Linked DNA regions of Saccharomyces cerevisiae S288C. The main gene of each other region encodes a partner of the protein of the gene in region 3 in a complex. Each region holds a gene or a part of one and is shown on either strand. Other genes may lie near its edges. A codon is read from its position in the direction of its gene.

The links.
Region 1: the proteins of EMC1 (region 3) and SOP4 are in contact, whole or in part, in a cryo-EM structure (PDB 6WB9), measured with the Saccharomyces cerevisiae proteins. Residues at the interface, in NP_009884.1 of Saccharomyces cerevisiae: Val25 (codon at 1,901), Phe26 (codon at 1,904), Ser27 (codon at 1,907), Asp28 (codon at 1,910), Ala30 (codon at 1,916), Phe81 (codon at 2,069), Arg82 (codon at 2,072), Asn83 (codon at 2,075), Asp119 (codon at 2,183), Trp120 (codon at 2,186), Phe121 (codon at 2,189), Leu122 (codon at 2,192), Leu123 (codon at 2,195), Glu125 (codon at 2,201), Gly126 (codon at 2,204), Val127 (codon at 2,207), Glu500 (codon at 3,326), Asp528 (codon at 3,410), Phe529 (codon at 3,413), Arg530 (codon at 3,416), Phe531 (codon at 3,419), Phe547 (codon at 3,467), Ser549 (codon at 3,473), Pro551 (codon at 3,479), Val552 (codon at 3,482), Pro553 (codon at 3,485), Glu554 (codon at 3,488), Ile599 (codon at 3,623), Phe600 (codon at 3,626), Pro601 (codon at 3,629); in NP_012343.1 of Saccharomyces cerevisiae: Phe39 (codon at 2,393), Val40 (codon at 2,390), Ser41 (codon at 2,387), Thr42 (codon at 2,384), Arg43 (codon at 2,381), Lys47 (codon at 2,369), Tyr49 (codon at 2,363), Ile51 (codon at 2,357), Tyr58 (codon at 2,336), Pro59 (codon at 2,333), Thr61 (codon at 2,327), Thr64 (codon at 2,318), Met65 (codon at 2,315), Phe66 (codon at 2,312), Gln67 (codon at 2,309), Asp68 (codon at 2,306), Asp69 (codon at 2,303), Glu74 (codon at 2,288), Asn77 (codon at 2,279), Val91 (codon at 2,237), Tyr93 (codon at 2,231), Ala95 (codon at 2,225), Met97 (codon at 2,219), Asn100 (codon at 2,210), Arg105 (codon at 2,195), Phe127 (codon at 2,129), Gly128 (codon at 2,126), Arg129 (codon at 2,123), Glu130 (codon at 2,120), Tyr131 (codon at 2,117).
Region 2: EMC1 (region 3) and EMC6 share a complex: the UniProt entries of both Saccharomyces cerevisiae proteins name them as parts of the ER membrane protein complex.
Region 4: the proteins of EMC1 (region 3) and EMC10 are in contact, whole or in part, in a cryo-EM structure (PDB 6WB9), measured with the Saccharomyces cerevisiae proteins. Residues at the interface, in NP_009884.1 of Saccharomyces cerevisiae: His425 (codon at 3,101), Phe427 (codon at 3,107), Ile440 (codon at 3,146), Glu442 (codon at 3,152), Lys447 (codon at 3,167), Thr449 (codon at 3,173), Trp450 (codon at 3,176), Lys451 (codon at 3,179), Lys452 (codon at 3,182), Ala453 (codon at 3,185), Asn455 (codon at 3,191), Glu458 (codon at 3,200), Asn499 (codon at 3,323), Glu501 (codon at 3,329), His502 (codon at 3,332), Ile513 (codon at 3,365), Thr514 (codon at 3,368), Gly515 (codon at 3,371), Glu516 (codon at 3,374), Ile517 (codon at 3,377), Leu518 (codon at 3,380), Thr520 (codon at 3,386), Gln521 (codon at 3,389), Glu522 (codon at 3,392), His523 (codon at 3,395), Lys524 (codon at 3,398), Asp525 (codon at 3,401), Pro551 (codon at 3,479), Val552 (codon at 3,482), Val558 (codon at 3,500); in NP_010341.3 of Saccharomyces cerevisiae: Asp28 (codon at 2,633), Glu63 (codon at 2,528), Cys65 (codon at 2,522), Pro77 (codon at 2,486), Cys78 (codon at 2,483), Phe79 (codon at 2,480), Ser80 (codon at 2,477), Tyr81 (codon at 2,474), Met82 (codon at 2,471), Lys83 (codon at 2,468), Tyr90 (codon at 2,447), Asp95 (codon at 2,432), Asp97 (codon at 2,426), Glu98 (codon at 2,423), Asp99 (codon at 2,420), Glu101 (codon at 2,414), Lys103 (codon at 2,408), Gln104 (codon at 2,405), Val105 (codon at 2,402), Ser106 (codon at 2,399), Leu107 (codon at 2,396), Ser108 (codon at 2,393), Tyr109 (codon at 2,390), Glu111 (codon at 2,384), Arg121 (codon at 2,354), Pro123 (codon at 2,348), Glu124 (codon at 2,345), Ala125 (codon at 2,342), Gly126 (codon at 2,339), Pro127 (codon at 2,336).

Annotation. Positions count from the first base shown.
Region 1 is NC_001142.9:70,908-75,937, forward strand, and holds SOP4 (Sop4p), read right to left. Parts: upstream 2,508-5,030; coding exon 1,803-2,507; downstream 1-1,802. Other genes in the region: YJL193W (uncharacterized protein), read left to right, coding at 459-1,667; 40S ribosomal protein uS11 RPS14B, read left to right, coding at 2,880-2,889, 3,298-3,704; 40S ribosomal protein uS8 RPS22A, read right to left, coding at 4,003-4,395; 60S ribosomal protein eL39 RPL39, read left to right, coding at 5,026-5,030. UniProt on the Saccharomyces cerevisiae protein: Involved in the export of PMA1, possibly through the monitoring or assisting of PMA1 folding and acquisition of competence to enter vesicles.
Region 2 is NC_001144.5:118,386-123,199, reverse strand, and holds EMC6 (Emc6p), read right to left. Parts: upstream 1,879-4,814; coding exon 1,552-1,878; downstream 1-1,551. Other genes in the region: mRNA-binding protein PUF3, read left to right, coding at 1-1,125; ATP-binding cassette bilirubin transporter BPT1, read right to left, coding at 2,089-4,814. UniProt on the Saccharomyces cerevisiae protein: Part of the endoplasmic reticulum membrane protein complex (EMC) that enables the energy-independent insertion into endoplasmic reticulum membranes of newly synthesized membrane proteins.
Region 3 is NC_001135.5:41,805-48,733, reverse strand, and holds EMC1 (Emc1p), read left to right. Parts: upstream 1-1,828; coding exon 1,829-4,111; downstream 4,112-6,929. Other genes in the region: protein disulfide isomerase PDI1, read left to right, coding at 1-81; MGR1 (Mgr1p), read left to right, coding at 370-1,623; POF1 (nicotinamide-nucleotide adenylyltransferase), read left to right, coding at 4,297-5,073; SPS22 (Sps22p), read right to left, coding at 5,178-6,569. UniProt on the Saccharomyces cerevisiae protein: Part of the endoplasmic reticulum membrane protein complex (EMC) that enables the energy-independent insertion into endoplasmic reticulum membranes of newly synthesized membrane proteins.
Region 4 is NC_001136.10:562,927-567,238, forward strand, and holds EMC10 (Emc10p), read right to left. Parts: upstream 2,715-4,312; coding exon 2,097-2,714; downstream 1-2,096. Other genes in the region: PST1 (Pst1p), read left to right, coding at 601-1,935; YOS9 (Yos9p), read left to right, coding at 3,001-4,312. UniProt on the Saccharomyces cerevisiae protein: Part of the endoplasmic reticulum membrane protein complex (EMC) that enables the energy-independent insertion into endoplasmic reticulum membranes of newly synthesized membrane proteins.

The DNA.
Region 1 (5,030 bases), on a different chromosome or scaffold from region 3:
TTTTTACAGTTCCACTTGCATCCCTCATTTTTCACATTCCTTTTTTTATAGAAAAGCATATCACTATATAAAAATTCTATTATAGTTGTAACAGCATAGCATATTATAGACTTTTTTTTTCTGGAAACGGTTAAACCGTTTGGCTGAGATGCAATGATATACGCAACATTGCATTCAAAGAAATTGCAAAAAAGACACAATAAAACGTAATTTGTACAAATATTTTACTATCATTAGCTACTGGATGCAGAATGGATGATTGTTAGGGGGAGGTGGGGTACAATTGTTTGTTTTTGATACATTTTCTCTTTCAAATCGCAACCAATTCACTCTGCTAATGTGATAACAATGGCGCCTGTCGGAAAGGTGAAAAAAAAAAAATGCAAACAAATAAATTGGCACGGTGTGACATATGCCTTCTATAATAATGAAGGAACTCGAAGAAAAAGGGGAAAACGATGTTTCAACAGCTGTCGGCATCCATTAGGCACAATGCACACATAATTTTTTTATGCATAAGTTGGTATTTTATTTCATCGTTGGCATCTCAGGTAACGAAGCAGGTACTAACGGTTTGCCCATTACCACTTTTTTTGGGTGAGTTTCAGTTCATTTATACTGCTGTGCTAGCATGGTTTACGTGTTATATTGCATATAGTTTCCCAGGATTCTATCGCATATTTCCTAATGGTACTTTTCCGGAATATTATATCGACGACAGAGAAACTAGCCGTGCAGCTAGGAAAGAATCAAAACTATCCTCCCTCATTATACCGCCCTCTAAACCAATCCTGCAAACAGTTCTACCTTTAGGTCTTTTCCAATTTGTAGGGAAATATTTTGGGCATACAGCTACCTCTTTGGTGCCTGTTTCCACGGTTGCAAGTATAAAAACGCTATCCCCCATGTTTATCCTTTTGCTCCAAAAGATTTTGAAAATATCCACTTTGAAAATTACTTTAACTCTTATCTTTAGTTTATGCACTTTAGTTCTTGGAGTTTGGATTATAGTTCAAGAAGATAATCGTTCACCGGCCTCTTCCAATGAGCTGAGAGAATTCTCTAAATACGGCGTAATATGCGCTATGATATCAATGTTCATTTTTGTCTTGCAAAATATATATGGCAAGACCGTGTTCACGTACAGATCTCAAACAGATGAATCTCAAAGTAATTCTGGATTCTCACGGCAAGAATCACCTTTACCCTTATATGAAAAGTTGGATGAGAAACTTGTTGCGAAAAAGAAACCTAAATCATATGACAAATTGACTTTAATGATTTATATTTCCCTTGTTGGATTTTGTTTATCGTTTGGCTGGTTTATCACTCTAGAATTTCCTGTACTATTTAGGTATTTTTTTCAAATTAACAGCTCTTCTACAGTAATAAAAGCTTTTCCAGTCTCTTTATTTTTACTGAACGGGACATTCCACTTCATTCAGGCAATGATTACATTTCATTTACTGGGTGAGGTCTCAACTTTAACATATTCAATAGCGAATCTGATGAAGCGCTTTGCCATTATTGCGGTTAGTTGGGTCTTTATTGGAAGAAGAATTACTTGGCTGCAAGTGTTCGGTTTGGTTCTGAACACATTAGGGTTATTCCTTTATGAAAGATGCACATCACAATCGAAAATAAAAGCGAAAATACGTCCTGAGTAGTTTAACATGATAGAATATAAATGCAAATAATATTTATTCCCTTTAGGAAATACGGGTGTTTTGAATTTACTTATCTGTACCATACATAAAATTTACATATAATAATAGAATCTTTATCAACACATAATAGTCACTCTACTTTGAGGCAACGGCAGCATACTTTTCTCTTTGTTTTCTTTTTGCCTCCTCTCTGATGGCTCGAGCTGTTTCGGGGTCCAACTTTTCTACTATGATTGGGAAAACGACAAGGGCAATTAAGGTAATAACGCCCGCCAGTTTCCAACGTGAGTTCAAAATATTACCCACAATACCTGTAGAAAAGATACTGACGTTTCTAGCCTGTAAATAAGATCTAATCGGGGCCTTATGTAAAAGCTCCACTGTAATATAAGGGTGCACCTTCATAGATTGTAATTTTTCTGGGTACGTTATATCTTTGGATGGGAAATATTCTCTTCCAAAAAAGTTCTTGAACGCGTTCAATTGTAAGGTGCCATTCTCTAAATTCTTGAATTCAATAAGAATTCTGTTTGGCTTCAGATTGAAGTCCATAGATGCTGGGTACATCACATAGTATGTCGTTTCATTAACACCGTCGTTTAAAGGGAGATTAGCGAATTCAAAGTTGCCTTCGTCATCTTGAAACATGGTCGTAGATGTGTAAGGATATTCTGTCGAAAAATTGCCGATCTGATAAAGTTTGAAACTTGTTCTAGTTGAAACAAAGCCGGTGATGTTACTTGCTGCTAAGTCTAAGCGACCCTTAATGGTCCCTCTCCTGGCCGTAGCACTGGCGACATAAATAAATGCACTGAGTAAAAGAACAATCTGTGAAAACATCGTCACACTGCTCTTTCACTTGTTGATCAAATTTACTTTGATGATATTTAATGGCTTGACAAATTCGTTCATCTTAATTTCATACATAATTTCATCCTGAAATCCTCGATCATTTTCGAGACTGTTTTTCGAGCTTGATTTTATATGTGGTGTAAACACATCATTGTACATCCTTGCACCACACTGAAAAGAATATGGAAAAAATTTCAAACTTTTTAATGGGTGATAGACTTGAAAAACAAAACGGAATAAAAGATATAGTCGCAAGAACTTGCCTTCTACGAGTATAAAAGCGGTACTATTCCTTCTGTATGCATCTTCATCGCAAGAGAGAAAAAGACTGAAATCAACAACTCCCAATAACAATTAAGAATGGCTAACGGTACGTGAAAGGGGTGATATCCTGTTTAAAACCATTTAGTTATTCTTTTTTTCAGATGGAGACTGTGATCGGGTAGCGCATGATGTTATTATTGGAATTTTATTTTTTTTGCAACTTTGAAGCACTCCTAACTATATTGCAATAGTGTTATGAGATGCTACTTATGTTTGTAAGGCCATGAAATTCTGTAATACGGAGTTAAAATTTCTGCAATAAAGCACTTCAATGCTATTGTGTTATAGAGGCTCTGCGCTCACCCTTAATACTGTATCATCTGTAATAAAGAATGTTTATCTTAAAAGGATTGTAACTAAATGGTTGTTAGATAGTGACTCATTCGTTTATTTTTTAATAATCGAAAAAGCAGAAGTTCTGTTTACTAACAACTATACCTCTTATCATGTATAGACCTTGTTCAAGCTCGCGATAACTCTCAAGTCTTTGGTGTTGCCAGAATCTACGCCTCCTTTAACGATACCTTTGTACATGTTACCGATTTATCTGGTAAGGAAACTATCGCCAGAGTTACTGGTGGTATGAAAGTCAAGGCCGACAGAGACGAATCATCTCCATACGCTGCTATGTTGGCTGCCCAAGATGTTGCCGCTAAGTGTAAGGAAGTCGGTATCACTGCCGTTCACGTTAAGATCAGAGCTACTGGTGGTACCAGAACCAAGACCCCAGGACCAGGTGGTCAAGCCGCTTTGAGAGCTTTGGCCAGATCTGGTTTGAGGATTGGCCGTATCGAAGACGTTACTCCAGTCCCATCAGACTCCACCAGAAAGAAGGGTGGTAGAAGAGGTAGAAGATTATGATTTCTTTTTTTTTTACTCTATTAACGCATGGAAATACGGCTTTACCTTCTCACATAAATATAGTTTGTTTAATTAATAAAGCCAATATAAACATTTGCATATTCGACTTCGTGCATGCAGAAATGCGGCAGATAAATTCATTTCTGTCTAATCTTTTGAACAGTTTTAAAGTACAAATATATTAGTATTTAACAGGAAAACTAAAAAAATGTATAATAAGAAATGAGTAAAGTTATGAGGCTATCTTGTGTTTATTATAGTATATAAAGCTACCGAAAAGGTTGTTGTAACAAGTAGCTTAGTAAACGAAACCCAAAATCTTACCAGAAACGTGCTTTCTTCTGGCTTCTTCATGGTCCATGATACCAGCAGAGGTGGTCAAGATGACGTAACCGAATTGTCTGGCTGGCAACAAGTTGGCAGTCCATTTTTCAATGTCACCAATCTTAACGTTGAATCTTGGGGAAATAACACCACACTTGTTCAATCTACCGTTCAATTGAACAACAATCTTACCAGATCTGTGGTCATCGATGTATTCAAATTCACCAATGTAACCGTGCTTTTGCATAACTTGCAAAAACTTGATAATGACCTTGGAGGATGGTCTGATTAAAACTTGACGCTTACCGGTCTTTTCAGCGTTGTTAATGGCATTCAAAGCATCAGCTAAAACGGAAGATCTGGTCATCTTGGATATGTATGTTGGTCTTGTTTTATAAAAAATACTAGAACTGAAAGGCCATTAAAAAACCTTACAATTTAAGAATTGAATAGTCGATTAAGATTATTTAGATTGAAATTGACTAACTGCAAACCCATATTCAAGAATTATTTCACATCTTCCAGCGAGTAAACATGCCGCTGGTAATCGCGCGTCCTCAATATTTGAGTTTTTCAAATAGTGAGGTGTGGATGTATAGAGGAATTACACACTTTTAAGTATGTGATGTATGGGCGCACAGTACCAATTTAACTTTTTTTTTTTTTCATTTTTTAGCTTGATTTTCAAAAAACTTATGGGCGTTTTAGGCTCCGGCTCAAACTACCACCACCACGCGGCAGGCCGAGGCAAACAGTACGCCTTGGCGGGGACGCCGAAGCGACTCCTTCTGTTCCAAGCTCAATGGTCCTTGCGTTTACGCTCGCGCGTGGGCTAACTAACGCAATTCGGCTTTTGGGCTGTCGAGAACCGAGAATTATTCTTCGCCTTGATAGATACTTTAAAACTTCTACTTAATATACTTTCTACAATTTTTGGTACATTCATATTATACTGAAAATTCGAAAAAGACAAGCAAATAAACACAGATAGATCAACATGGC
Region 2 (4,814 bases), on a different chromosome or scaffold from region 3:
CAGCAACAGCAGCAAACGTATCATCGATCGCCGTTGTTAGAGCAACTAAGAAACAGTAGTTCTGACAAAAATTCAAACTCGAACATGTCACTAAAAGACATCTTTGGCCATTCCTTAGAGTTTTGCAAAGATCAACATGGTTCACGGTTCATTCAGCGCGAGTTGGCCACCTCACCAGCCTCAGAAAAGGAGGTCATATTCAATGAAATTCGCGATGACGCCATTGAGCTTTCGAACGATGTATTTGGTAATTACGTCATTCAGAAGTTTTTTGAATTTGGTAGCAAAATTCAAAAAAATACTTTGGTTGATCAATTTAAAGGTAACATGAAACAGTTATCTCTACAAATGTACGCATGTCGTGTAATTCAAAAGGCGTTAGAATATATTGATTCCAATCAAAGAATTGAGTTAGTCCTGGAATTATCTGACTCCGTTTTGCAAATGATCAAAGATCAGAACGGTAATCACGTAATTCAAAAGGCCATCGAAACAATTCCTATCGAAAAATTACCTTTTATCTTAAGTTCTTTAACTGGCCACATTTACCATCTATCTACCCACTCCTACGGCTGTAGGGTCATTCAAAGATTGTTAGAATTTGGTTCGAGCGAAGATCAGGAAAGCATTTTAAACGAATTGAAAGATTTCATACCATATCTAATTCAAGACCAATATGGTAACTATGTCATTCAATATGTTTTGCAACAAGATCAGTTCACCAATAAGGAAATGGTCGATATCAAACAGGAAATCATAGAAACTGTGGCCAATAATGTTGTCGAATACTCTAAACATAAATTTGCCTCCAACGTGGTCGAAAAATCTATTCTTTATGGCTCTAAAAATCAGAAGGATTTAATAATTTCTAAGATTTTACCAAGAGACAAAAATCATGCTTTGAATCTGGAAGACGATTCTCCAATGATTTTAATGATCAAGGATCAATTTGCCAACTATGTGATTCAAAAATTAGTTAATGTCTCTGAGGGTGAGGGTAAGAAATTGATCGTCATTGCCATTAGAGCATATTTGGATAAACTAAACAAATCTAACTCCCTAGGAAATAGACATTTAGCCAGTGTTGAGAAACTTGCAGCATTGGTTGAAAATGCGGAGGTGTGATTAGTGTTATCATCGTTCTCCTTTCACTTTTTACTATTTTTTTTTTTTTTTTTTTTTTTTTTTTTTCCTCCATTTGTCTTTCACTTACTCTATTTTATTTTGTTTTATTTTGATATCTACTCTTGTCCATAACATTTATGTTCCCCTATATTCATTATTTGCTTTTTTCCATTACCTACTTTTTGTACCTCATCTCTATTTTTCTGCAAAAATCTTTGCGCTCTTACGCTCTTCTTATTTCTGCAACAGATAGAGAATTTAACATTGTGTATTTGAAATCATTTGACTGAGAATACTGTTGTCATGTCTTTTTACATAGAAGGAACTAAAAAAATTTAAAAAAAAAAAACACAAATAACATTATATTTACTGTACATAATAAATCAAGCCTGTTTCTAACCGTTTATAGAAGTAGTTCTTATATGTTCATCCGATTAGGGCGTATCCAAATGTCCATGCCATGACAAAACCAGTTATCTCTCTAAAAAACGATTCGAAAAAAATGTCATGAAGTGGGCTTTGGTAGAACTTTCCTGGTTGAAGTTGACAGATCCAAACAATGTAAATGACATTAATCAAGTTGTACAGAATCAGGAACCAAATAAACCCATGGACTGACTCGATTTGCAAAAATCCTGCAACAAGCCCTAGAACAAGTGCTGAGCTATCTTGCACGAAAAGTAAACGCTTCTTATTATCAACCACATTCGCAGTTGCGTTTATCTGAGTAAATACCTCTTCATTTGAGCTCATTTCTATCTGTCTGCCGCTGTCTTTCTCGAACACTGCTTGAGCAATCCAACATAAGGTTAAAATTAAGTTGTATTTAGTTATATCTCTACTAGCTTCATTTGTGATTACCCGGGTTACTAGAAAGCATATAGAAAGAAAAAGAATTGGCGTGACCGTACATATTGCAGCGCATTAAATGTTCTATATCTTCATATATAATAATCAATGTCATTATTTCAAATACCCACCTTTCTCACAAAGACTGTAAAAAATAGACGTTTTATCGGATAACAATTTCGAGGGTGAATCGAATTCCCTCACACTACCCTGGTCAAGAACAATTATCTTATCACTGTCCAATACAGTGTCGATACGATGTGCAATTGTTAAGATGGTACGGTCCTTAAATTCTCTTCTTATAGTGTCTTGGATAATTTTATCGGTTTCCATATCCACAGAAGCCGTTGCTTCATCAAGGACCAATATTTTGGAACGGTTTAGCAGCGCTCTTGCCAAACATAGTAGTTGTCTTTGCCCCACTGACAAGTTACTACCGTTCTCATTAATCTTGACATCCAGAATATCATTAACATTGCCATCCTCTTCATTAGAATCATCACCTCTTGGTTTACTGTGCAGCATTTTTTCCAGATGAGGCTTTAAATGTGCCTGCTCAACAGCCCTTTTAAGTTCATCTTCTGAATAACGATTGAAAGGGTCCAAATTGGTCTTTACTGTACCTTCAAAAGCTTGTGCATCCTGAGGAATAATTGCCAAATGGCTTCTTAAATCGAACAGACCTATGTCGGATATATCAATGCCGTCAATAATAATTTTACCTTCGGTAGGTTCTAGTATTCTAAATAATGCCAGGCTCAGTGTAGACTTCCCTGCACCTGTTCTGCCAACAATCCCAACCTTTTCACATGGCTCAATCTTCACGTTAATATTATTCAGCACTGGATCCAAATTTTCTCTGTATTTTGTGGAATAGTTTTTGAATTCAATACCACCCTTTGATGGCCAATTTTCATCTGGCCTCTTTTCAGGGTTAATGGACTGTGCTTCAGGTGGTAATTCGCAGTACTCAACAATTCTCTCCACTGATACAATGTTGGTTTCAATCGTCACAGTTGTCCTTACAATCCAAGTCAATGAACCTGTAACCTCTAATGAATAGCTCATTAGTAGACCAACCATACCCGAACTTAGTTGCCTTTTAGTATTCATTGTTGCTAGTGCTAAGATTGCAGTAGCCAAAACAATTGTAGCACCAATAGTTTGCAATCTCACGGATAACCATCTATTCGTTGATCTAAAGTTGAAGACAAAATCAACGTTGTATTGGATTTTTTCATAATTTAGATAGATGAATCTCTCAAAATGATCGTATGCATCAATAATAGAATAACCGTTCAAGCTCTCACTCATTAAGGACATAATCGGAGAGTAAGATATACTGATCAATCTTTTTAGCTCCCTAGATAGCACAATGTAAAATGTTTGATAGTAAATATAGATAACCACCAAAAACATATTGAACACTAAAAACCATGGCATATTGTACCCGACTAATATAACAGTAACCAAATAGGTTAGTATTGATTTGAAAAAAAAGGAGAAAATGTACTGTAGATTACTGTCCACTGCATCCATATCAGATGAGAACCTGTTTATGATCCTTCCAACTGGTGTAGTCTCAAAGAAAGTCATAGGACTTCTAATTACAGATTTGGCCATGCTTTCATGCAGTTTCTTAGAACCCCTAATAGAACAATACAGTAGCATCATAATACTCCGTAAATTATTGAATGCGGCCGATGCTACTCCGATTAAGGAATACACACCAACAAACATCCAAACCCTTTCATTTGAACCATTTTTTTCATTAGATTCTGACCAGTACTTTAACCAAAAATTCTCTGCTAAGTCGAAAACCCTTGTTAATATCATAAACAAGAAAAATAAAACAACACCTAAAACTCCACAAGCCTTAATATACGCAAGATAAATCTTTGTTTTGACTCTTCCCACCTCTGTCTTCTCGGCCTTTTGCGCCGTTTTCTTCACGGAATCCAATTGTGCTCCCACAAAGGGTCTAGGTCTTAGCGTAGCTAGAGAAGCTCTTCTAGAATTGGCTTTGATTAGTTCTAATTCACTCTCAGTAACAACCTCATCCTCAGTTTCTGATTCAGTTACTTTAAGCTGCAGAGGTTCATCCACTTCACTTTCGGATCGGTGTTCAGTTTGGACATCGCTTTCATTTCCATTATCAATCGGAGAATCAAATTCCTCTAGTAATTTTTTCAGTTTTGAAGTATTGTTCTTACGGTTCATTACATCCTCATAATTCCCTTGTTCAACAATTTCACCGTTTTCTAGCGCATATATCATCTGCGAATGTTTTAAAATTGATACAGTATTGGTAGTTAAAATAATTGTTTTATTTTTTAATAAAGCCGTCTTTCCGATCAAAACATATTCAATAATATTTTTACTAACTTCTGCATCAACAGCAGATAAAATGTCATCCAACAAATAAATATCTGCTCTCGAGTACACCGCTCTGGCTAATGAAAGACGGGCCTTCTGACCGCCTGATAGGGAAATGCCCTTTTCACCTACCAAAGTTTCATCACCATCTGGTAGTATTTTCAAATCGGGTAGCAATTGACATGCTTTAATAGTGAGGTCATAATAATCTTGGTCGAACTTGTGACCAAATAGAATGTTTTCTCTTACAGATGCGTTCATTATCCAGGATTCTTGTGAACAGTAGGCTACAGACGATGATCTAATGATCAGTTTAGGTGGTATCGAGTCCCTAGAACCACTCATGCAAGGAAGTTGACCAAGAATTGCCTTCAAAAATGTTGATTTACCAGCTCCTACCCGACCAACAACACAAACTAAATCACCCCTTTTTGCTTCAAAATGATCGATATTCTTCAACGCAA
Region 3 (6,929 bases):
GCCCAGGAAAAAGCTGCTGAGGAAGCCGATGCTGACGCTGAATTGGCTGACGAAGAAGATGCCATTCACGATGAATTGTAATTCTGATCACTTTGGTTTTTCATTAAATAGAGATATATAAGAAATTTTCTAGGAAGTTTTTTTAAAAAAATCATAAAAAGATAAACGTTAAAATTCAAACACAATAGTTGTTCGCTATATTCGTCACACTGCACGAACGCCTTAGGGAAAGAGAAAATTGACCACGTAGTAATAATAAGTGCATGGCATCGTCTTTTACTTAAATGTGGACACTTGCTTTACTGCTTAGGAAACTACTTATCTCATCCTCCTCCATTCCCTCTCCTTTTCCAATTACCGTAATAAAAGATGGCTGTATTTACTCCTCCATCAGGTAATAGCAATTCCACCGACCATACTCACACACAAGATGACCACGACAAAGATGATAATGATATCAAGAAATTCTACATAAGGCCAAGTTTAGGCTTAAAACTGTGGGGTCCGCTCGTACCCGCTCCTGATAACCTACCGGGACTATACACTCTAATCACTATCCAATCTGCAGTGGGTTTCTTTGCCCTTTGGAGACTGAGAAGGCTCTACAAACTACCGCCACCGCGCCGCATTGCCACTGGCACTCACTCGGATTTATCCTTTGGCGAACTACCCAGTGAAATGATTGTCAATGGCAAGACTAAAATCAAAAAGGATATTGCTGACTTTCCAACTTTGAACCGCTTCTCCACCACCCATGGTGACATTGTGCTCGCCCCTCCTCCCATCATACCTCGCCAATCTCGATTCGTCAGCGTCAGAAAGCTCTTATGGGGGTTGTTTGGCTCTTTGCTACTTTCTCAGTCACTGTTGGAGCTTACTCGCCTGAACTTTCTTAAATACGACCCCTGGTGCGACGAAATGAAATCCGTACGTGACAAGAAGTTTTTCAACAATATTGTCAAATATTATCACGAGGGCATAGACCCCACCAAAATAAAAGTCAAGGATGCTATGAACGGTACTCCTCTCTCGACAAATATCCCTGAGGTCAAACAAAGCGTCGCTCTCGCTAGAGCGCAAGTTGAGGCGCAGAATCCCATTATTAAATGGTTCGGACCCTTGGAATACAAGCCCATGTCTTTCAACGAGTACCTCAATCGCATGGAATTTCACTTGGACATGTTCGAGTTTTTTCAAAATAAAAGAAACATTAGAGAAAATTCCATTGAACTCATCAATTCCATATCCCACAATCCGCAGTCTTCTTCTACTGGCCTTGAAGGTCTTTCCGAGTCCAAAAAACTCCATCTACAAAATGTGGAAAAAAGACTGCATTTCTTAGCATCTTCGGGAGATTCCATTTCCGCACCAGTAAAGAAGAGATCCAGCACCACACTCTCCCGAGGTGTCATTTTGCCCCATGACACGAAAGGCCCGCAAGATATTGATCTCGATACAATAAGATCGCTTTATGATCCATGGATGACTTTGGCCTTAGAAACTTCGCTAAGCATCAAATTCATACCAACTACCATGCCCTCCCATACCAAGACACCCACTAGCACGGACCAGCCGTTACCAGGGCCTACCCCCAAGGCTCTCACTAATGAAAAGACACATTAGGTCTTTGCGGATTGCTTAGTTGTACCGTGCGTATATTAAATCCTTCTTCGTACACCGTGATTTTTCAGACGGCTACCAGAGAAAATATGGCTGGGATTTCATATTATATATGCAAATATATAATAACATATATATATATACACTCCATTAATAACTAATACCTACATTCATATCAACACTTTCATCCTCCCCTTCCCCCATAGCAATGAAGATAACGTGTACAGACTTGGTGTACGTCTTCATTTTACTCTTCCTAAACACGAGTTGTGTCCAAGCCGTTTTTTCAGATGATGCATTTATCACTGATTGGCAACTGGCTAACTTAGGTCCTTGGGAGAAAGTCATCCCTGATTCTCGAGACCGCAACAGGGTTCTCATCTTATCGAACCCTACCGAAACTTCCTGCTTAGTTTCTTCGTTTAACGTTTCTTCCGGACAGATTCTTTTCAGAAACGTTTTACCCTTTACCATTGATGAGATTCAACTGGATAGTAATGACCATAACGCAATGGTTTGTGTGAACTCTTCAAGCAACCATTGGCAGAAATATGATTTACACGATTGGTTTTTACTAGAGGAAGGCGTAGATAATGCCCCTTCTACGACCATTTTACCTCAATCCTCATATTTAAACGATCAAGTATCTATTAAGAACAATGAACTACATATTCTCGATGAGCAGTCAAAACTGGCAGAATGGAAATTGGAGTTACCTCAAGGGTTCAATAAAGTGGAATATTTTCATCGTGAAGATCCCCTGGCGTTAGTGTTGAACGTTAATGATACCCAATATATGGGATTCTCTGCCAATGGCACAGAATTGATCCCCGTTTGGCAAAGAGATGAATGGTTGACTAACGTGGTAGACTATGCTGTATTGGACGTCTTCGATTCTAGGGATGTGGAGTTGAACAAAGATATGAAAGCGGAACTTGATTCAAATTCGCTTTGGAATGCTTACTGGCTTAGATTGACAACTAATTGGAATCGCCTTATCAACTTATTGAAAGAAAACCAATTCTCACCAGGACGTGTCTTCACTAAACTCCTAGCTCTAGACGCTAAGGATACCACGGTATCAGATTTGAAGTTCGGATTCGCCAAAATCTTAATTGTTTTGACGCATGATGGCTTTATCGGCGGCCTTGATATGGTCAATAAGGGCCAACTTATCTGGAAACTCGATTTAGAAATTGATCAGGGCGTCAAAATGTTCTGGACGGATAAAAACCATGACGAACTTGTTGTTTTTTCGCATGATGGGCATTATTTGACAATTGAAGTTACTAAAGATCAACCGATTATCAAATCAAGATCCCCCCTATCTGAAAGGAAAACTGTTGATTCCGTTATTAGGCTGAATGAACATGATCACCAGTATCTGATTAAGTTTGAGGATAAGGATCATTTACTGTTCAAATTGAATCCCGGCAAGAATACGGATGTACCAATAGTTGCCAACAACCATTCTAGTTCCCACATATTCGTCACAGAGCATGACACGAATGGCATTTATGGCTACATAATCGAAAACGATACGGTAAAACAAACTTGGAAAAAAGCCGTAAATTCGAAAGAGAAAATGGTGGCATATAGCAAGAGGGAAACAACAAACCTAAACACTCTTGGTATTACACTAGGTGACAAATCGGTTCTTTATAAATATTTGTACCCCAACCTAGCGGCTTATCTGATCGCTAATGAAGAACATCATACAATCACTTTTAACTTAATTGATACCATTACAGGAGAAATCCTCATTACCCAAGAGCACAAGGATTCTCCGGATTTTAGGTTTCCAATGGATATTGTTTTCGGTGAATATTGGGTCGTTTATTCCTATTTCAGTTCTGAACCTGTTCCAGAACAAAAGTTAGTAGTGGTGGAATTATATGAGTCACTAACCCCAGATGAGCGTTTGTCTAACTCAAGCGACAATTTTTCTTATGATCCATTGACTGGACACATTAACAAACCTCAATTTCAAACTAAACAATTCATTTTTCCCGAGATTATCAAAACAATGTCCATTTCCAAGACAACGGATGATATTACCACAAAGGCAATCGTTATGGAATTAGAAAATGGACAAATCACCTACATACCAAAGCTTTTATTGAATGCAAGAGGTAAACCAGCAGAAGAAATGGCCAAGGATAAGAAAAAAGAGTTTATGGCTACCCCATACACGCCAGTTATCCCAATTAATGATAATTTCATTATCACTCATTTCAGAAATCTATTGCCAGGATCCGATTCGCAGTTGATCTCCATCCCAACCAATCTGGAATCCACAAGCATTATATGTGATCTAGGCCTTGATGTATTTTGTACAAGGATCACACCTTCGGGCCAATTTGATTTAATGAGTCCTACTTTCGAAAAGGGTAAATTGCTTATTACTATATTCGTCTTGTTGGTGATCACGTATTTTATCCGTCCTTCTGTTTCAAACAAGAAGTTGAAATCCCAATGGCTAATTAAATAGATATTTACATACACATTATATATATCAGATACACATTTCAAGGCTCCTTATTTTGGCTTTCTTTTTTTTTTTTTTTTTTTTCCCTGGAAGACGTCATACTCGTGGTTATATAATCTCCTACTTCTTTGGAAAATGGACACTTAATCAATGACGGTTGATAGCAGTACGTGCACTAGCAGACTAATATGAAGAAGACGTTCGAGCAGTTTCGAAAAAGCAATTTACTATTTCAGGTTCTCAAAGGACCCCAGCATCTAGAATGTCAGAAGTTATTTGTCCTTGATTCTTCATTCAATCCACCACATCTGGCCCATTTTCAACTACTATCGCAGACTATTAAAAACTTCAAATTGAAGGACACCCGTTCGCATGTTTTATTACTGTTAGCGGTGAATAATGCAGATAAGTTGCCTAAGCCGGCATCTTTTCCAACTCGTCTGGAAATGATGTGCTTATTCGCTGACTACCTTCAGGAGAAGCTCCCCCAATCTGTAGTATCTGTCGGGTTGACTGTTTTCTCGAAATTCATCGACAAGGACAAAATATTACATGAGCAATTTGTTAAAGGATGCAGTGCAGATATAGGCTACTTAGTTGGTTTTGATACAATTGCTAGGATCTTTGATGAAAAATATTATCATCCTTTAAAAATCAGTGATGTAATGGAGAGCTTCATGTCGGGATCTCAATTATATTGCTTGGCGAGAGGCGATTGCCATCTCAGTGCTGAATCGCAACTAAGATACGCCAGTGACATCCTTGAGGGAAAATTCGAACCGGTAATACCAAGAGAATGGGGCGCTAGGATTCATGTTATGCAAAATGATTATCCAGCATTAAGAAATGTTTCATCATCCGAGATTAGGAACAAACTGAAGAATGGGCAAGTGGAGAGTTTGAAAGACGAGTTGCCATTGTGCATATACGATTATTTGATCAATAATAAGACAATATTTGATTGAAAGAGAAAGATAGAAATTCAAATGCCTTTCATGGAGATATATGTATATAGATAAAGATAATATTAGGAACAAAAAAAACTTTCTGTTATACTAGACTAGTAATCTTAAAACAATAACATAGCAACAAGGCATGTACCAAAAAGAAGGGGGTCCAATTGCATGCTTGGATTTGCTGAGTTCGCGTATTTTGAAATCACTCTTTTCTTGGAGTCTTCACCTTCTTGCGTTAAATCTTTGTACCCTTTTTCTATGATTGTACCATCCTGTTTAACATTCAGCGTATTTTCCTTCTTACCAGAAATACAAGTGAATTTCCCACCCCTGATGATTGATCTTCCATTTGATGGGTTTGTCCATTTATTGCAATCCAACACGTTTGATGAACTCTTAATAAAAGCGCTACCTTTCACCAGTTTCAAGCTATCGAACATGATATCTTTGAACGAACCTTCAAAGAAAATAGCACCTCCAATCTGCTTCAAGTTTGGCAGGAAAGTAATATCCTCGAGGGATTCGTTATCGGCGATCATCAAGCCACCTTGAATGTCTGTTAAGTTCTCCAAATTAACTTTTATTAAATTTACATTGTTGATAATTCCTAATGTTCCACCAATCTTCTGCAAATTGTTCAGGTTCAATTCGTAAAAGTAATTTTCGATGAACTCTAAAGAGCTTTTCACTTTTGTTAATTGTGGAAGGTAGACCAATGATGTGTCCCTAATCGTTATGTTTTCCACTTCTCTCAAGTGTGGCATTTCAAGTTCTAGCTCCTTAGCGTTCGCATGTACACTGAATTGTCCCCTAATGGTTTTAACGTTCGAATGAATAGTTTCTAAAAATCTGTTATTATTGATATTGAAAGTATCAATTTCCTGAACCTTGTTGAAATTCTCGATGTTTGCTAATGAAGTATCCGATATGACAATATCCTTTATAATCTCAATATTCTGAGAATCCATGGAGACGTAGTTCAAGATGGGAACAACTTTCCACTCCAGTGACTGACAAAATTTCAAAGTTGGAATTTCAACAGAAACCAAAGAGGTTAGTCCCTGTAATTGGAAGAGCCCTTCGATTTTATTCAAGTTCCCGGCTTGGATTCTGATCAGTTCAGGTGAATCCTGAATAATCAGGTCACCACCAATGGCCCTCAAGCTGTTCAAATCCAAAATGTTAGAATCATAGTTTGTGACTTTTAATGACCCCAAGATGAATTCACATTGGTTTTGTAAATGAAAAAGATCATGAGACGATTCAATGACGTGCAAATCTTTTTTACACAACTCTGATATCGGTGAGTTTGTGTTCAGACTCTTGACATCTATTTCAAAAAACGGTTCATTTGCTCTTCTTTGAAGTTCGAGATTACCGTTATGAAAAGGCTTCACATTATGTGGTCGCCTTGGCGGATCAATAGCGGCACCCAATGCATGTGTCACAAATAATGATGCAAATATAATCGCGAATAAACAACTTTTCCTAGTAATACGGTTCATAAGTCGATCAAGTAATGAAAAAATGGCTTTTGGTTTTCCTTGTTGTATTTCAGATGAGATATCTTACCAACAGAACAAGTTTCTCTATTGTATGTCACAAAAGGATATAGCTTCTCCAAAATCTTTCTTTTTTATATTTTTTTTTTTTTTTTTTTTTTTGAATTAGTGACGCATCTTCTGTACAGTAAAGAGAGAAAAAAAGGGTATAATAAAACAGTTAAGCTATACTATAGTAGCGCATACACACAACGTATATACATCTAGTATTAAATATTAGTAATTATTAAATAACGAAAAAATAAATTATGGTTGAAATAGAATCAAACGTAAAGAACAAAGAAAAAGCTTAATGGAACGAAA
Region 4 (4,312 bases), on a different chromosome or scaffold from region 3:
ATAGAGTGAGCGGATTTCTATTATCTGAAAACCGGGTTATAATGCACGTGATATGCACGTGGGAGCTGGGCGGCTATTTTTTTCTTTTTCAAATGTATTTGAGTCGTTTAAAATAGCACTCCCCGTTGACCCGCCAACTCATTTTTGTTTTCTCTTTACGGAAAAGGCTTTAAATTAAGGCCCGCATTTTCGGTATCCTTGAGGGAAAAAAACCAAAGAAACCCAAAAAAGACCACAAAGCTGGGATATCTTAATTAGTAGAGAGGGCTTTTAGTTTTAATAGTGTTACGAGTCTCTAAAAATAGCGTAGGCACACTGCCCTGATTCGGACTTTGATCAGAGTTTATTACTACAAAGAGTAATGTTGAATGATTGGGCTGGGTTTTCATAGCATTAACTCTAAGTAATATCATTCAACCGCTCAAGGTTCCTTACGAGCAAACCCATATATGCTCTACAGATAAACATATAAATAGCGTGCATATTCTTCTCTATTCAACTCTTGCTCTGTATAGTTCAATAGAATCTTACAGTACATCACGCTGCAATAGATCTAATCCAAGAGAGAAGCAAAAAAAAAAAGCTCGCTATAAAAATATCATGCAATTACATTCACTTATCGCTTCAACTGCGCTCTTAATAACGTCAGCTTTGGCTGCTACTTCCTCTTCTTCCAGCATACCCTCTTCCTGTACCATAAGCTCACATGCCACGGCCACAGCTCAGAGTGACTTAGATAAATATAGCCGCTGTGATACGTTAGTCGGGAACTTAACTATTGGTGGTGGTTTGAAGACTGGTGCTTTGGCTAATGTTAAAGAAATCAACGGGTCTCTAACTATATTTAACGCTACAAATCTAACCTCATTCGCTGCTGATTCCTTGGAGTCCATCACAGATTCTTTGAACCTACAGAGTTTGACAATCTTGACTTCTGCTTCATTTGGGTCTTTACAGAGCGTTGATAGTATAAAACTGATTACTCTACCCGCCATCTCCAGTTTTACTTCAAATATCAAATCTGCTAACAACATTTATATTTCCGACACTTCGTTACAATCTGTCGATGGATTCTCAGCCTTGAAAAAAGTTAACGTGTTCAACGTCAATAACAATAAGAAATTAACCTCGATCAAATCTCCAGTTGAAACAGTCAGCGATTCTTTACAATTTTCGTTCAACGGTAACCAGACTAAAATCACCTTCGATGACTTGGTTTGGGCAAACAATATCAGTTTGACCGATGTCCACTCTGTTTCCTTCGCTAACTTGCAAAAGATTAACTCTTCATTGGGTTTCATCAACAACTCCATCTCAAGTTTGAATTTCACTAAGCTAAACACCATTGGCCAAACCTTCAGTATCGTTTCCAATGACTACTTGAAGAACTTGTCGTTCTCTAATTTGTCAACCATAGGTGGTGCTCTTGTCGTTGCTAACAACACTGGTTTACAAAAAATTGGTGGTCTCGACAACCTAACAACCATTGGCGGTACTTTGGAAGTTGTTGGTAACTTCACCTCCTTGAACCTAGACTCTTTGAAGTCTGTCAAGGGTGGCGCAGATGTCGAATCAAAGTCAAGCAATTTCTCCTGTAATGCTTTGAAAGCTTTGCAAAAGAAAGGGGGTATCAAGGGTGAATCTTTTGTCTGCAAAAATGGTGCATCATCCACATCTGTTAAACTATCGTCCACTTCCAAATCTCAATCAAGCCAAACTACTGCCAAGGTTTCCAAGTCATCTTCTAAGGCCGAGGAAAAGAAGTTCACTTCTGGCGATATCAAGGCTGCTGCTTCTGCCTCTAGTGTTTCTAGTTCTGGCGCTTCCAGCTCTAGCTCTAAGAGTTCCAAAGGCAATGCCGCTATCATGGCACCAATTGGCCAAACAACCCCTTTGGTCGGTCTTTTGACGGCAATCATCATGTCTATAATGTAATGGAATGAAGAAATATTCTTCATTTTTGATAACTAGTACCTGTCATTCACGACATGTGAACAAATAAAAACATTTATTTAAAAATTTTATGTATTCAAATATTTTCGGGAAAGAGATAAAAGTAACGACACTTAAAAATTTAAAAAATCACAATACTTTATTTACTCAGTCTTTTGATCAGCTCCGGCACCTCCTTGTTGTTGCTTCTTTGCTGAGCCCGCAACAAAATTGTAAATCAATAGGCCTAAAAGTAACATTTTCCAGTTCTTTTGAAACCAAGACACCTCCTTAACCTCTTCATCTTCTTCGAATTGTGCAGTGCTTCCATCCTTATTCTTACTAGCTTTTTTATCAGCATAAGTTTTGGTTTTCTTCTTTAATTTGGTGACTGGTGCAGTAGGTCCCGCTTCTGGATATCTGACTGTAGCAGTAATAGCATCGTTAGTCTCGTCATATGATAACGACACTTGTTTGACCTCATTATCTTCATCTACATCCACAATTAAATCGTATTTTAGTGGTGTCCTCAGCTTCATGTAGCTAAAACATGGCATATCCAGCTTACCTTCAATCTGGGCATTCAAACAGTATTCTCCAGAAACTTCAACATCCTGTATATTAACGGTTGTTACTGTAACATTCCCATCGGATGTACTATCAATCTCAAATGTTCCTAGGGGTATAGCGTCTTTCGCATCATCTGAATAGCTTAATTGTAAAATATCAGCACAGAAAACCATGCTGGCCAATAAAATCACACGCAACAGCCGCACAAGCATCTTTCCTTCAATGAGTATTGTACAGTTCTTGTTAGATAGTGTTGAATAGTACCACCTTGTTTTTTTACTCAAAGTGTCTTTTATATACTTCTAATTATTCCTATATTTGGTTGGGTTTTTAAGTTACCAATGCAAATACAGTGGTTAGAGACCCAGCGCACGTATGCAAAAAAATACAGCGGAAATTTCAAGTAAAAATGTAGCTTCATAAAAAAGAAGCAGATTCCCTAAAATAAGCAATAGATCTTCACATATATCGTTATCATCCCCTTTCTTCCCTGTTTCAATGCAAGCTAAAATTATATATGCTCTGAGCGCAATTTCTGCGTTGATTCCGTTAGGATCATCACTATTAGCACCTATAGAAGACCCCATAGTATCGAATAAGTACCTCATATCTTACATCGATGAGGACGACTGGAGTGATAGGATATTACAAAATCAGTCTGTCATGAACTCGGGATATATAGTGAATATGGGCGACGACCTTGAATGCTTTATTCAAAATGCAAGCACTCAATTGAATGATGTATTGGAAGACTCAAATGAGCATAGCAATAGTGAAAAGACAGCATTATTAACTAAAACCCTGAATCAAGGTGTTAAGACAATTTTCGATAAATTAAATGAACGGTGCATCTTCTACCAAGCCGGATTTTGGATTTACGAGTACTGTCCTGGCATAGAATTTGTTCAGTTCCATGGTAGAGTAAATACAAAAACTGGTGAAATAGTAAATCGAGATGAATCTTTGGTCTACCGCCTGGGAAAACCAAAAGCAAATGTAGAAGAGAGAGAATTTGAACTACTTTATGACGATGTAGGATATTACATCAGCGAAATTATAGGGTCAGGTGATATTTGCGATGTGACGGGGGCTGAAAGAATGGTTGAAATACAATATGTCTGTGGCGGCTCAAACTCTGGACCATCGACTATTCAATGGGTGAGAGAAACAAAAATTTGTGTTTATGAAGCCCAAGTTACCATACCTGAATTGTGCAATTTAGAATTACTAGCCAAAAATGAAGACCAAAAGAACGCCTCACCTATACTTTGCAGGATGCCCGCAAAATCAAAAATTGGTAGTAACTCTATTGATTTAATCACCAAATATGAACCGATTTTTTTAGGTTCTGGAATATACTTTCTAAGGCCCTTTAACACCGACGAAAGAGACAAATTAATGGTTACTGACAATGCCATGTCAAATTGGGATGAGATTACGGAAACATATTACCAGAAATTTGGAAATGCCATAAACAAAATGCTTAGTTTGAGATTAGTATCGTTACCTAATGGACATATTCTCCAGCCTGGTGACTCATGTGTTTGGTTGGCGGAAGTGGTTGATATGAAAGATCGGTTTCAAACCACTTTATCGTTGAACATACTTAATTCACAGAGAGCAGAGATATTTTTCAACAAGACGTTTACATTTAATGAAGATAATGGAAACTTCCTATCATACAAAATTGGGGATCATGGCGAGTCAACTGAACTTGGTCAAATAACCCACTCAAACAAAGCAGATATAAATACCGCAGAAATTCGGTCAGATGAATACTTAATTAACACTGATAATGAGCTATTCTTGA